Linked DNA regions of Rattus norvegicus. The protein of the gene in region 1 binds, or shares a complex with, the protein of each later gene. Links are inferred from orthologs where the notes say so. Each region holds a gene or a part of one and is shown in the gene's direction. Other genes may lie near its edges.

Evidence for each region.
Region 2: the proteins of Agk (region 1) and Timm10 are in contact, whole or in part, in a cryo-EM structure (PDB 7CGP), measured with the Homo sapiens proteins. The link is inferred for Rattus norvegicus from reciprocal best matches to the Homo sapiens genes AGK and TIMM10. Residues at the interface, in NP_060708.1 of Homo sapiens: Phe49, Gly50, Asn51, Gln52, Leu53, Ile54, Pro55, Pro56, Val60, Ser91, Gly92, Met93, Asp94, Val95; in NP_036588.1 of Homo sapiens: Glu40, Glu42, Leu43, Ser44, Lys45, Gly46, Ser48, Arg53.
Region 3: Agk (region 1) and Timm22 share a complex: the UniProt entries of both Homo sapiens proteins name them as parts of the TIM22 complex. The link is inferred for Rattus norvegicus from reciprocal best matches to the Homo sapiens genes AGK and TIMM22.

What each region holds. Positions count from the first base shown.
Region 1 is NC_086022.1:70,080,126-70,084,501, forward strand, and holds the start of Agk (acylglycerol kinase, mitochondrial), read left to right. Parts: upstream 1-1,531; 5' UTR 1,532-1,580; intron 1,581-1,587; exon of another isoform or gene 1,588-1,783; intron 1,784-4,209; exon of another isoform or gene 4,210-4,231; intron 4,232-4,376. UniProt on the Homo sapiens protein: Lipid kinase that can phosphorylate both monoacylglycerol and diacylglycerol to form lysophosphatidic acid (LPA) and phosphatidic acid (PA), respectively. Does not phosphorylate sphingosine. Phosphorylates ceramide.
Region 2 is NC_086021.1:90,313,414-90,318,069, forward strand, and holds the start of Timm10 (mitochondrial import inner membrane translocase subunit Tim10), read left to right. Parts: upstream 1-1,725; 5' UTR 1,726-2,290; coding exon 2,291-2,361; intron 2,362-4,656.
Region 3 is NC_086028.1:61,749,887-61,754,590, forward strand, and holds the start of Timm22 (mitochondrial import inner membrane translocase subunit Tim22), read left to right. Parts: upstream 1-1,799; 5' UTR 1,800-1,811; coding exon 1,812-2,043; intron 2,044-4,348; coding exon 4,349-4,545; intron 4,546-4,704. UniProt on the Homo sapiens protein: Essential core component of the TIM22 complex, a complex that mediates the import and insertion of multi-pass transmembrane proteins into the mitochondrial inner membrane. In the TIM22 complex, it constitutes the voltage-activated and signal-gated channel.

The sequences.
Region 1 (4,376 bases):
AGAGTTTTGTGAAAAAAAGATACGTTGCTGTTCAAGAGTCCGAAGACCAGTAGACTGATTAGAACTTCATGACAGTGGAGAGACGGAATGTCACAGGTGGATAGTCGAATTTCTCCTTTCTTACCTGGAATAGCCATTCATACCAAGCTCTCTACCTAACTCGTCTTCGTGACTACTAGGTCAAACTTTAGGAATGGCTGTAAACTTCCACCCGCCCAAATCTAAGAAGGTTATCCATCACACGGTGTCTGAAACCTACGATGGAGATTACTCTGCCTTGCTGTAACCTGCCTTCTCGACATCTTAAATTGATTCACGGCTGTATTCTATTCTCTGACTCATACATGTTCAACTCACCTCTTCCATGGTGGAACATGTCATTCTGGATAACTTGAATCCGTGTTCCGAAACCATGGCCCTTCATACTTGGCTCAGAATAAATTTATTTCCTGTTCAGTTTCCCTAGGGAGACAGCAGCAAATAAATGTCTTTTCTCTCCAGATAGTGTGACAGGGACAGCCCCCAAAGAAATGATTCCACTAAAGTCTAGATTTGGGAATCAATGAATTTGATTGGGGTTACATATGGCAGCATGAGTGAGGGATTACCTACAGGAACGTGAACAACTCATAGGAGGCAATACCAGTGAAGTAGTTCTTGTCCCCTTCAACACTCCTAGCCCTTCTGGAGCCCTTCCAGTAACCGTTAATTGTGGAAGAGGTGGGCCCCTAGGGATCAAAAGTTAATGGGTCCGATCTCGTGACATCTCAGGCGAGCTCCCATTTGAAGATGTTTCCACTGAGCAAATGTTTCCATTTCAAGACAGACCTTTACCAGTCCTCTTTGCAGCAAAACCTGTTTTGTTTTGTTGACATCTCCCTGGCAGTGAGAGGTGGCAAGATAAAAAGTCTTTGTACGGGAAAAGCAGGAAGCTTCCCTGCACCCGCCCTTCATCTCCAGCCCAGCAATTTTTATATTTTAGTAAGACACCCCCTCCCCCCCTAGTGTTCAACACCTTGTGGCCTCTCCTGCTTCATGGCTCTCTTTTTCCATAGCTCTCTCTGCCTCCGGCAACAGGCCTAAAAATTCTGTGATTTTGTGCCTGATTTCCCCACCCCCACCCTTCTTTTCAGTGCATTCTGACTTGATCTTCTTCCTGCTCTGGGGAGCTCAAACTTCCGCTGGTTAATTTCATACAGTGCCCCTCACCACATGCCCTATAGCTCGGTTTTGTTTTGTTTCATTTACCAATATCTAAAATTGTCGTAGCCGTTTAATTACTTTCTGATTTAGTTCCAAATCGCAAAACTGTTCTTATTATATACTGTGAACTTTCCAGAAACAATTGGCTGGCGAGAGATGGATGGATGAAAGATTGAATGAACAGTAAAGTGACAAGAAAAGGAAGGGAGGGCGGTGGCTGCTGCGAGCCCACCCCTAGGTCACGGGAGAGCTCGCCCTGCCAGGCTGGGGCTGTTCCGCGTCGGAACCCGAGGGCAGCGGGAGCGGTTTCCTTTAAAAGAGAGGGAGATTTTTGTGAGAGCACACAGGAAAGGCCGGACGCTGAGCGGCGGGCAGCGGTGAGTTCAGGGGAGCGAGCGAGGGCCGCTGGCTGTGTGTGGTCAGGGTATGGGGCGCAGCCGTGGGTTGCTACGCTGAGCAGGGCCGGAACCCGCCAGCGGTCCCGGGATCGGCCACGCGGTTGTTGACCGCAGCGCGGCGGGAGGAGGAAAGATTGGGCCGGGCCGGCGTGGCGCGCACGCCCGTGGTCCCTGTGAGTCAGGTGTGCTGGTTCGAGTCTCAGAGCAGTGCCTAACTGTGAACCCCTCAGTTCCTCCCTTCCCACCTTAGGCTGTGGGTACCGGAACAAAAATGGGGCCAGCAATATTTGAACCATAGAAAGCGGGTCGGTTCATTCATTCTATTTATTCGGTTCTGCAGATGTGAATGGCTAGAACCTGTCCCAAGGAGATCTCATTGAGTGAAAAAGCCCTACCTTCCTTGTCAGGAGAGGGTCAGAAGTTAGAATTTGGGAGCTTATGGGTTTTGGGAGAGCCCGCTTGGAAGGCAAAGATACGTTAATGTAGACATAAAATTGAGATTTTTTACTGACATTAATGAGAATGAAAATTCTGGCTACTGAGAAGGGAACATACACTGAATGTAGTACATATTATGAAATACAGAAAAACGTACAGATTTTATTGACAATCTCTTCACTGCATAAATTGATGGTGTTTCCTTATTTCTCTAGTGAAAAGGTTAGTTGACTTATCCAGGGTCTCACCATCTGTAAATGACAAAGCTAGGGTTTTGTTAGGCACCTGGACCAGTCCTCTTTGCACTCTAGGCTGCCTGCATATTTCCCTCATCTTTTAGTAATATAGGAATCATTTAAGATGAAAAGGGAGTTGCACGGGGTGGGCGTGGCTTTTTAAAAAAATAGTCGACTGGGAGTGTGCTTAGCAGTATTCTTTCCCTGCTGCTTTCCGTTTACGTGATGCTAACAACTCTCATACATTACCTCACAGGCACGAATCCCAATTCTATCCCTTGGGTTCAACTTCTCCTATTTCCAAAACGCTAAGTCCAGACATCTGTTTGGGCTTCATTTGAGTGTGCCCGGCAGGTATAACAGTCTCGGAGTGTGCCCGGCAGGTATAACAGTCTCGAGTCTCCTTGACTGCACACTGTGTTTTCCCACAAACCAACAGTATAAATCCAAAACCTGGAGATCACCTAACAATCCGTTGCCCAAGCACAAAACTTGGCTTGTTTCCTCATCCTTCACCTCTTGTAATCAGTTGGTCACCAAGCGCTGCCCATTTCTGTTTTATAAAGACCTCCACATCTTTTGTTGACTCTTGTCTAGAATTTATGGCAGCCACCCCTCTAATGGCTCTTTTTAGCTTTATGTTCTGGTTCTGACGGGATGTTTTATATGTTATTCATCTGCTAAAAAATAAATCTCGTTTTTTGTTTTTTTTTGTTTTTTATTGTCTTCAACATACTATCTAAAGCCCTTAGTGTGGATTAAAAGCCTTTTCAAATCTCTACTTTCCTCTGACCCCATTGTTCATCTTTAAACTACTGTTTTTTTTTTTTAATGTCTGGTATGTTTGCAACCTCTGTTGCAATCATGGTAGTAACTGCTAGCTAAAAATAAAATGACTACTCAGTTCAAGAACAATGTAGGCTTTGGGGGAAGGGAGATAATGCCCAAGAATATACATTTACAACAATTTTTTTTTTGCACTTTAAATAAGGTTTAATAAGGACACCAGGGCTGAGAACCACTGTTCTAGATCCTATCTTGTATGTATAGTCTATTGGTGGGCATAGTTATTCCCAAGTAGTACATTGGCAGTTGAGGAAACAGTAGGAGCAGGAAGTTGTTGCTGTTCTAACCGGAAGCAGACTAAGCTCTCACGTTAGAGGGGCCTGTATATGCATGCAGGAAATAGTACTTTTATTTCTTAAGGTGAAGGGACACAGAAGAACCCGAGCAAACAAACCTTGCTGGTCTTTAAGTCTTAGCACCATGTTCAGTCATGTTTATGTAGAACTTTCTGTTCTTTAGCACATTGACCACACACACAGATTTAGTTCTGAAAGTTCTGTGTCATGAAAACTCACACCAAATAGATGTATGTGCTTTTTCCTTGTTAATATGTCTTTTTTAAAATAAGATTCTTAGTAATGGGTGGGAAGAGAAGTTACTTCTTCCGTTTACTGCCTACCTGGAAAACACACACACACACACACACACACACACACACACACACACAGAGACTTTGTGTGGTTCTTAGTTCAGGTTGCTGTAATTGGAGTGGCTTAAATAACAAAAAATTATTTCTCACAGCCTGCAAACTGGAAGTATGAACCCAAGATGGTTGGCACAGAGTATTGTGCACTCTTCCTAGTTTGCAAATGGCTATTTCATTGCTGTGTCTGCTGATGGAGCTGGATGCTGGTGTCTCTTCTCAGAGGGGTGCTAATCCCATTCATGAGGACAATATCCTTCCGACCCCATTACTTTTACATCCTAATACCATTTCAGTAGGAATTAGGGCAGTCACTTTCAAGTTTTGGAAACAGTTGTTGAGGCCATAGCATATACCTAACTCCTTTACGCTGTGACTTCTCCTAATCTGCAGGATTCTGAGAATTCCCTGACTCTCTCTGGCTCCTTCAGGTCCATCCCAGTTAGGCCCATTTTTCTGGACTCAAGGTAGATCCTGTCCTCATTTCCCAGCATGCATCTTACTGTGTTGCAACTTTGCTTGTATGGCCGTATTGCAGTCAGGGATGCTAAGATTCATGAGCATTTGAGAGTGGTACTTACTCTTCCGTGCCCTAGCCCTTAACACAGAGTA
Region 2 (4,656 bases), on another chromosome or scaffold:
AGGAAATAAGTGGGCTGGTGAGATGGCTTGCTGATATAGGTGATTACCCCCAAGCCTGACAGCTTGGGTTTGATTACTCTGAACTCCCATGATGGAAGGAGAGAATCAGCTTCTACCAGTTGTCCTTTGACCTCCACAAGCCCTTCGATTCCACCATGGGTGCATGTTCTTATAAATAAATTTAAATTTAAAAATAGTATGTCAAATGAACTGTATAGTTCAGTTATTGAGTGTTTGCTTACAATTCCTTCAGCACCGTGGAAGAGAGATGAAAAAAATCACTATTAGCTGAGAATGTGAAAATAGCACTTTGGAAAAAAGACTTCATCTGCTAAAGACAAGAATAGATCAAGAAAATGCGACTAAATATCAAGAATTATTAAATTGGGGCTGGAGAGATGGCTCAGTGGTTGAGAGTATTGACTGCTCTTCCAGAGGTCCTGAGTTCAAATCCCAGCAACCACATGGTGGCTCACAACCATCTGTAATGGGATCTGATGCCCTCTTCTGATGTATCTGAAGACAGCAACAGTGTACTTATAATAAATAAATAAATCTTTAAAAAAATATTAAATCTTGGTGTTCCTCATCATTTCTCCTTGCTTTCACTGATGACTCTCTGGCCCAGATCATCTCACACTGTACCAAATCACCAATGAAGTTCATTAGACTGTGTTCTCTGTGTGTTGCAGATTTGCCCTAATAAAAATAGTTTTAAAGGATAAAGCCGCAAGGCCCTGGGTTCGGTCCCCAGCGCCGAAAAAAAGAACCAAAAAAGGAGATAAAGCCAAGGGGTTGGGGATTTAGCTCAGTTAGGTAGAGTGCTTGCCTAGAAAAAAAAAAAAAAAAGAAAGAAAGAAAGAAAGAAAAAGAGAAGGATAAAGCCAATAATTCTTATTGTTACATTTATTTTTTTATTTATTGTGCATGTGTATGGCTATGATAAAGAAGTGCAGTAAAACATGCTGCAGCGCTGGGGCAGTTGGTAGAGCGCTTGCCTGTAGCATGTGGTCCTACTTCCATCCCAGCACTGCAAAGTTCAGGCATAACGGCGCTCATCTGTAACCGCAGCCCTAGTGAGGTTGAGGCAGGAAATAAGTTCTAGGTCATCTTCGGCTACACCGCAAATTAGAGAGCCTGGGTTCCATGAGACCCTATCTCAAAAGCAAGCACAGAAGACCTCTATACATGTTTCCTTTTTCTGCGAGCAGCGATTTTGTATCCTTCTTTCTGCAACCCCACCAGTTAACGCAGTTTGTTCATTTACTAAAGTCTGGGTCCTACTCCCTGGGACTCTGATTTCACGAGTATGAGGTAACGTCTGGGCGTTGAGGTTTTTAAAAAAGTGCTCCAGGTGGTTTTAACATGCAAAACTGACAGGCTCCTTTGGGAAACGTTCTCCCTTCTTCACAAAAGATCCGTCTGCGCTCAGGCGTGGGCTCTCCATGGTAGGCTCAGGGAGCCAAGCCTTTTCCACACTCCAAACACTCAGAAGTCTCCCGGACAACCAGAGGGATGGAACGCTAACAAGGCTGTCGGCGCTCTGCCATTGACTCCGCACTCTATGATACTTTGGAGTCCACTCTAGCAAATTGAAGTAGGTTTCTCTTCAGCCAGTGGCTCCTCTCTATGGTAGCCGGTTTCCCAGAGCCGCCTGGTTTGCGTTTTCTTCCGGATCAAAGAAGAGGTTAGACTTCCTTCCGGAAGTGACCCACGTGCTTCTTATTTCGCCTATCTTGGTACCCGGTTAACTTTTTACTATTGACCCGAAGTTGGGGGCGTTGCGGGAGCTGTGACCTACCCCAGGCCGTGGTGAGTGAGCCATGGTATCTGATCCCCAGGCTGACCCTGATTATGCCATTGCCATGACAGAGGCGCAGCCTTTAGACCGGCCCTGGGAACCTATGTTGTGGTTAGGGTCACATTCTCGGGGCTGCGTGGGTTCAGGCCCAGGGTTTTGTGTGCTCTGCCCCTAATGTCGGTCCTCTGGCTAGGAGTGATTTCGAGATACTGAGAGCTCTCGGTTTCCAGCTCCGAGCCCCATGACATCTTGAGTGACCTTGAACTGGACACTGTCCCCTTTAAGGGCCTCATTTCCACTTCTGGTAAGAGGGCTGACTACGTTTTCTTAGGGTACTGGTCCCTGCTGGTCTGAAACGCTGTAACCCCTCGCGCCCTCCAGCCCCTGGGTGGGTATTAGAGTGAATGTGGAGGGGTCGGTGCTGACTTATCATGTACGCTCCCAGGACTAAAGACCAGGAGGCTATTTTCTCCACGGTGCTAAGTTGACATGGATCCGCTCAGAGCCCAGCAACTGGCAGCGGAGCTGGAGGTGGAGATGATGGCCGACATGTACAACAGGTAAAGAGAACCACTCCGATTCACCTTGTCCAGAAAACTAGCCCTCGTCACCCCTACCGCGATAGAGTGAAGGACTTGTAAGGAATGCTTTCCCTAAGGTAGTAGAGCCAAGTCCCAACCTCCTAATCCCGTCCCACCATTACTGCGGGCTTGGCTGAAGTAAAGACAGGTCACTGGAAGGACTTGGTTGGCTATTTAGAGGGAGTAAAAGGGGTGTGAAGGAAAGTCTCCTGCTCAGGCTCTGCTGAGTATCAAGTACAAGTAAGCACTGCCTTTTCTTTCTTTTCTTTTCTTTTCTTTTTTTTGGAGCTGGGGACCGAACCCAGGGCCTTGTGCTTGCTAGGCAAGCGCTCTACCACTGAGCTAAATCTCCAACCCCTCTTTTATTTTCTAATAGCCCATTTTATTACCTTTGCTTCTGTATTTTGTGTTTATTTATGAATGCCAACATGCATGCTATAGCAGCTCACATGTGGAGGTCAAAGGACAACTTACTAGGATTCCATCTTGGATTGAACTCAGATCTTCTGGTTTGGCAGCAAGGGCCTTTGCCTCCTGAGCCATCTGAACAGTCATTTAGTAGTTAATAGTATTTAGTAGCTAGTACTTATTAATTTTTTTCTTCCTTTTTGGGGGAGAGGTGGGGTGAGCGTTTTTGTTCTTGTTTTTCAAGATAGGGCGTCTCCGTGTTGCCCTGGTTGTTGGCTTGATCTGTATAGAGCAGGTTGGTCTCACTCCCAGAGATCTGTCTCTGTCTCTTGGGTGCTGGGATTAAAAGTGTGTGCACTTGATCCTTATTAAACTTTATCTCTGTGTTAGGCACTTGCAAAGCATTTTATATACATTGTCACTTTAAAATTTTTTTTTTTTTTGGTTCTTTTTTTCGGAGCTGGGGACCGAACCCAAGGCCTTGTGCTTCCTAGGCAAGCGCTCTACCACTGAGCTAAATCCCCAACCCCCACTTTAAATTTTTTTAATTTATTTGTTTTATATGTATGTATGTTTTGCTTGCATGTGTATATACATGTGCATCACATGCCCTCAGAGGCCAGTAGAGGGCATCATATCTCCTGGAACTGGAGTCAAAGATAGTTGTGAGCTGCCATGTGGGTGCTGGGAACCAAACCCAGGTCCTCTGCAAAACAGTAAGTTCTCTTAACTACTTTCCAGACCCCCATTGTCATTTTTGTAAATACTTAAAAATAATTCAAAGGGAGAATGGGGTGGAACATAGGATGTTTGTCTAGAATGTAGGAAGCCCTTGGTTTGATCTCGGCATGGTGGGTGCCTATACTCAGAGATGGAGGCCAAAGCCAAATAGTTGAATGAATGAATGAATGAAAGAAAGAAAGAAAGAAAGAAAGAGAGAAAGAAAGAAAGAGAGAGAGAGAGAGAGAAAGAGAGAAAGAGAGGAAGGAAGGAAGGAAGGAAGGAAGGAAGGAAGGAAGGAAAGAAGAGCAGTGGGTTAATTTTATTAGTACCATTTTAACATAGGGGAATTGAGGTATTAAGGGGTTTACTAATCTCAGGTTTTGTAGCTGGTCAGCAACAATGTCAGGCCAGAACTTGAGGCTGACTTCACAACTACTGCTTGTAGCTGTTAGGCCAATTTGGAAGCATCCTGGTATGCCAGTCACTGCTGAATGTCTCATAATTGCTTATCTCATCAGTAAAACTGGCATAAGAGGTGCTATGCCATACAGACATTACAGTATTATACTTTATCATCTAGCATATCATACAGGAAACAGCAGGTATCTGCTGGTTTTTGTCAGCAGCTCTTTTCATTGATTGGTTTGTTTTTGAGACTATAAATTAGAATGGTTTTTAAAATGCAGACTGTGCAGTCAGACTACCTAGCTTTGTGTGATATTTAGCAAATTACTGAGCTGTGTCTTAATTTCCTCATCTGTAAAGTGGGGATAATGATTGTGCCTACCCCACTGGGCTACTGTGAGGGTTGCCTAACAGAGTCTGTATTAGCCCTTAGCATGATGGCTGGCACACAGCCAGTATTCAGCAAGTGCTTCTGCTTTAACTAGTCTTGTACATGACTCAGAGAAGATTCTTATTGGAAGAACCTTCCAAACTGGTTGAAGAAAAGTTTCTTTTCTTTTTTTAGGTTTATTTATTTAATATATACACTGTAGCTTTCTTCAGACACACGAGACACAGGAGAAGAAGGCATCAGCTCTCATTACAGATGGCTGTGAGCCACCATGTGGTTGCTGGGATTTGAACTCAGGACCTCTGGAAGAGCAGTCAGTGCTCTAACCGCTGAGCCGTCTCTCCAGC
Region 3 (4,704 bases), on another chromosome or scaffold:
GCTAACCTCTAACTAAGAGAGATCGATTAGCCAGCTTCTGCCTCCCAAGTGCTTGGATTAAGGGGTGTGTACCACATCCAGCGCTCTTTTCTGGCCTTCACAGACACCCACGCTTGCACACCCATGTGTGTGCACACACATACATAAAAAAAACAGGGGTTGGGGATTTGGCTCAGTGGTAGAGCGCTTGACTAGGAAGCGCAAGGTCCTGGGTTCGGTCCCCAGCCCCGGAAAAAAAAAAAAAAAAAAAACAAAACAAAACAAAAAACAACTCTCCGGCAATGTTGGCATATAGGAAATGTGATCCAGGAATATTGGACCACTCACCAGAAACAGGCTAGAATCTGAGGATCTGTCACTGAGCAGCCCAGAAAATCTTTTCTTCTCAATGAGGAAATCACAGATCCACTACTAAGGCCAGGATCAAAAAGAAGATGTAATAGGAGCAACATTTTCTAACACTTGGCCATTGACTGAGGTACAAGAATGGCATCTAGAAATAGGATGGTTGGTGATCAACGCCTTTGATCCCAGCACTCAGAGGCAAAGCAAGGCAGACCTCTGAGTTTGAGGCCAGCCCGGTCTACAGAGTGAGTTCCCCAAGAAGCCAGGGCTACACAGGGAACCCCTGCTTCAAACAAACAAACAAACAAACAAACAAACAAGGATGGCATCTAGAAAGAAATGAGTTTCAAAAAGTTCAAACTTAGCTCTCTAACACTAAAAACCACAAAGCATTAACGATTCCAAGTTGCCTGGTGTAGTGGCACACGCCTTCGATCCCAACACTCTGGAGGCAGGCAGATCTCTCCAAGTGCACCACCACACCCGGCAACTACCAGCCATGGGGTTTGACATCTTCCATTGTTACCATAGTCGTATGCCATTAGTACCCTATGCAATACTCTGTACTTGGTCTCTCTCTCTCTCTCTCTCTCTCTCCTCTCCTCTCCTCTCCTCTTCTCTTCTCTTCTCTTCTCTCTCTCTCTCTCTCTCTCTCTCTCTCTCTCTCTCTCTCTCTCTCTCTCTCTCTCTCTCTCTCTCTCTCTCTCTCCTTAATGGTTTCTCTGTGGAGCCCCAGCTGCCCTGGAACTCACTCTGTAGACTAGTAGGCTGGCTTCAAACTCAAGAGATCTGCCTGTCTGGGCTTTAAGGCGTGCTAGACCACCACTCACATTTGTTGGCCTTCTTTATTCTTCCTTAAAGGCTTAATAAATATGTAATAAAATGCTTTTTGAACACATTTATGTCATGTTTCAACACTTTCATACAAAGGGCGTACATTCGATCTCAGAATGTAAACCAGTCTGTGGTTCTAGTGACTGTAGTAGCTGGAGCTCTGCTTTATGGCCTGGCAACAAAGCGGACACGTGCGTCCCCTGCTGCAAGTTCGACGAACTGCAGCCTAACAGGATCCGACTTCTCTTCGGCCGCTTCTCAGACGAGCTTTCAAAGGAAGTAGCAAAGCCAGCGAGTGCGCACGGCTTTCTGGGAAATACAGTTGGACATTCGAATTAGAACTACAAATCCCGGCACGCACCGCAATGGAGCCCCTAGTTGAGGGGTGTTCTTGAGCTACTAAACCTTGTCAGAGTTTTTAGCAATGCCTTACAAACTTGGTTCACTGTTTAAAGAGGCGTTGAGGAAACGTGATAGCTTCCTCGACGCTGATGCAAAGGCTGACTCTTGCTTCTACAGCTTCCTCAGTGTGGCGAATCTGCCGTTGTCGTTAGGCTGGCCGGACTCCTCGGTTAGCATGTGGAATCGGCTGTGGGAAATACGACGTGAAAGGTACTAGAGCCCGTACAGTCATGGCGGCCGCCAAGGCTGGGGCTTCAGCTCCTGAGGCGGCGGGTTCCGCCGAAGCTCCGTTGCAGTACAGCCTTCTTCTTCAGCACCTGGTGGGCGACAAGCGTCAGCCACGGCTTCTGGAGCCTGGCAGTCTGGGCGGGATCCCGAGTCCTGCCAAGAGCGAGGAGCAGAAGATGATCGAGAGGGCGATGGAAAGTTGCGCCTTCAAGGCTGTGCTGGCCTGTGTGGGAGGTGAGGCGAGGCTTGTGGGACCCTTGGGAGGCTGAGGGCTTGGAGAACTTTAAGGTTCCTTGCTAAGACCACGCGCCTGGGAGGCGAGGAACCTGTGCATCTCGACCTTGATCGCTCCCGGGCTGGCTGACTCCTTGAACCCGGAGATGCCGCTCTTGACCCTGAGATTAACATTCACAGTCAGGGTCTGCAGGTTCCTAAATTGTTGCTTTCTTTTCTTCGTTTTATTCGTTCGTTCGTTCGTTCGTTCGTTCGTTCGTTCATTCATTAAGTTGTTACTATGTAACGGTCAGGTGCCCGGCAGAAGGAATATGGATGAAAGCGACAGGAGCCCTGAAGGAGAATATTAGGACGCAAAGAGAAGAATGCTGTAGAGTTGCAAATGCAAAGGTCCTCAAGGCAGGAGTTTGGAGTTTGGAAATTATTACTGGGTGATGGTGGCCCAAGCCTTTAACCCCAGCACTGGGAGTGGTGGTGGTGGGCAGAGACAGACAGACAGGGAGGACTACATAGAGACACCCTGTCTCAGAATTAAAAAAAAACAAAAACAAAAACAAAAACAAAAAACAGCGAAGGCCAGTGTGATTAGTCGGGGTGAGGCTGGGATGGATGTTAACAACACACACACACACACACACACACACACACACACACACACACATACACATATTAATCTTCCAGGGTTTGAGAATGTACAGCATACTTATAGTGTACAGGTAAAAAGGTTGTTTATTTGTAGATGAGTTTAAATTTCGTTAAGAATGAAGAACATTTTAAAAATACAGGAGTTCAAATCTTAAATAGTGGGGAGGAAGAGGCAGTCAGATCTCAAGAGTTCCAGGTCAGCCTAGTCTATAGAGTGAATTCCAGGAAAGTCAGGGCTACATAATAGAGAAACTGATTCTTTTTTTTTTTTTTAAGACTTATTTATTTGATGTATATGGATACACTGTAGTTGTCTTCAGACACACCAGAAGAGGGCATCAGATCTCATTATAGATGGTAGTGAGCCACCATGTGGTTGCTGGGAATTGAACTCAGGACCTCTGGAAGAACAGTCAGTGCTCTTAACCACTGAGCCATCTCTCCAGCCCTGAGAAACTAATTCAAAAACCAAAACAACCAGGCTGGAGAGATGACTCAGTGGTTAAGAGTATGGACTGCTCTTCCAAAGGTCTGAGTTCAACTCCCAGCAACCACAGGGTGTCTCACAACCATCTGTAATGGGATCTGATGCCCTCTTCTGGTGTGTCTGCTACAGTGTACTCATATACATAAAATAAATAAATAAATAAATATTTAAAAAATCAAAACAAACAAATAAGTAGAAAGAAGAGATAGAGTTTTGGAGCTGAAGTGATTAGAAAGCAAGACCAGGAGAGGAGGGGTCTAGCTTCATTGAGCTTACATTGATCTTGAGGTGATCATCTTGAAAAGACATCATACAGAAATGGCTGGGGAGAAAGCCCAGTTGGTAAAGTGCTTATCATGCAAACATGAAGGTCTGAGTTCAGAACCCAGCATCTATGTAAAAAAGCCAGGTATGGCTGGGTGAGGCTATGGGGCCTTTAAGCCCAGCACTGGAGAGGAAGAGGCAGGATAGCCAGGGCTGTTACACAGAGAGACCCTGTCTTAGAAAACAAACAAACAAACAACAACAACAAAAAGAAATTGGTGGGTAATTCCTGAGGAATGGCACCCACTCTGGCCTACACTCACAGACAAAAGAAGGCTCAGACAAGGCATTTGTTGACAGAAACATAGGATTCCATGTTTAATATTCATGTGACTCTGAAGACAGTTACTTAACCTCTCCAGGGTTTGGTTTAGAGAGGCAGGGTGGATGGTGGTTTCAGAACCTTTAATCCAAGCTCTTGGGAAGCAAAGGCAAATGAACCTCTGGAGTTGGAGCTTGCCTGTTCTACAGTGTCAGGTTCGAGGCCAGCGGGATTATGTAGTGAGGCCCTCAAACAGAAAAGCCAGGAAGGGGAGATAGTAACATCTACCTCACAAGTTACTATGAAAAATAAGGAATATTCCAGAGTAGCGGGGACATGATGCTTCCTTACTGAGTGACTGTATGAGTGTTGTTACAGGTCATATACAACGTTGGTAGCTGAAGAACAGGGTTAAAGCTGAAAGGCATAAATCCTAGAGGAGTTGTGGGGGTAGACTCCGACTGTACTGTGAGGAAAGCCGGATCAGGACCGAGTGCCAAGAGACCAGAAAGGCCATCTTCAGTTACCATCCCCAAATGGTAAACTAGAGAATGTGCAAAAGAACTCTTATCTCTGCTTACCTCTAGGATTTGTCTTGGGAGGCGCATTTGGTGTCTTTACTGCTGGCATTGATACCAACGTGGGCTTTGACCCCAAGGACCCTTACCGGACACCAACTGCAAGAGAAGTCCTGAAGGACATGGGACAGAGAGGAATGTCCTATGCCAAAAATTTTGCCATTGTGGGTGCCATGTTTTCCTGTACTGAGTGTCTGGTAGAGTCTGTAAGTGCCTCTTGCTTCTTAAGAAAGCTCTTCCTGTTGCCCTTGTACACTTTTTAATTATCTTTTTTTTTTTTAAATCATTTAAAAACGCTTGGGTGTGTGTGTGTGTGTGTGTGTGTGTGTGTGTGTGTGTGTGTGTGTGTGAATGTGAATGTGAAT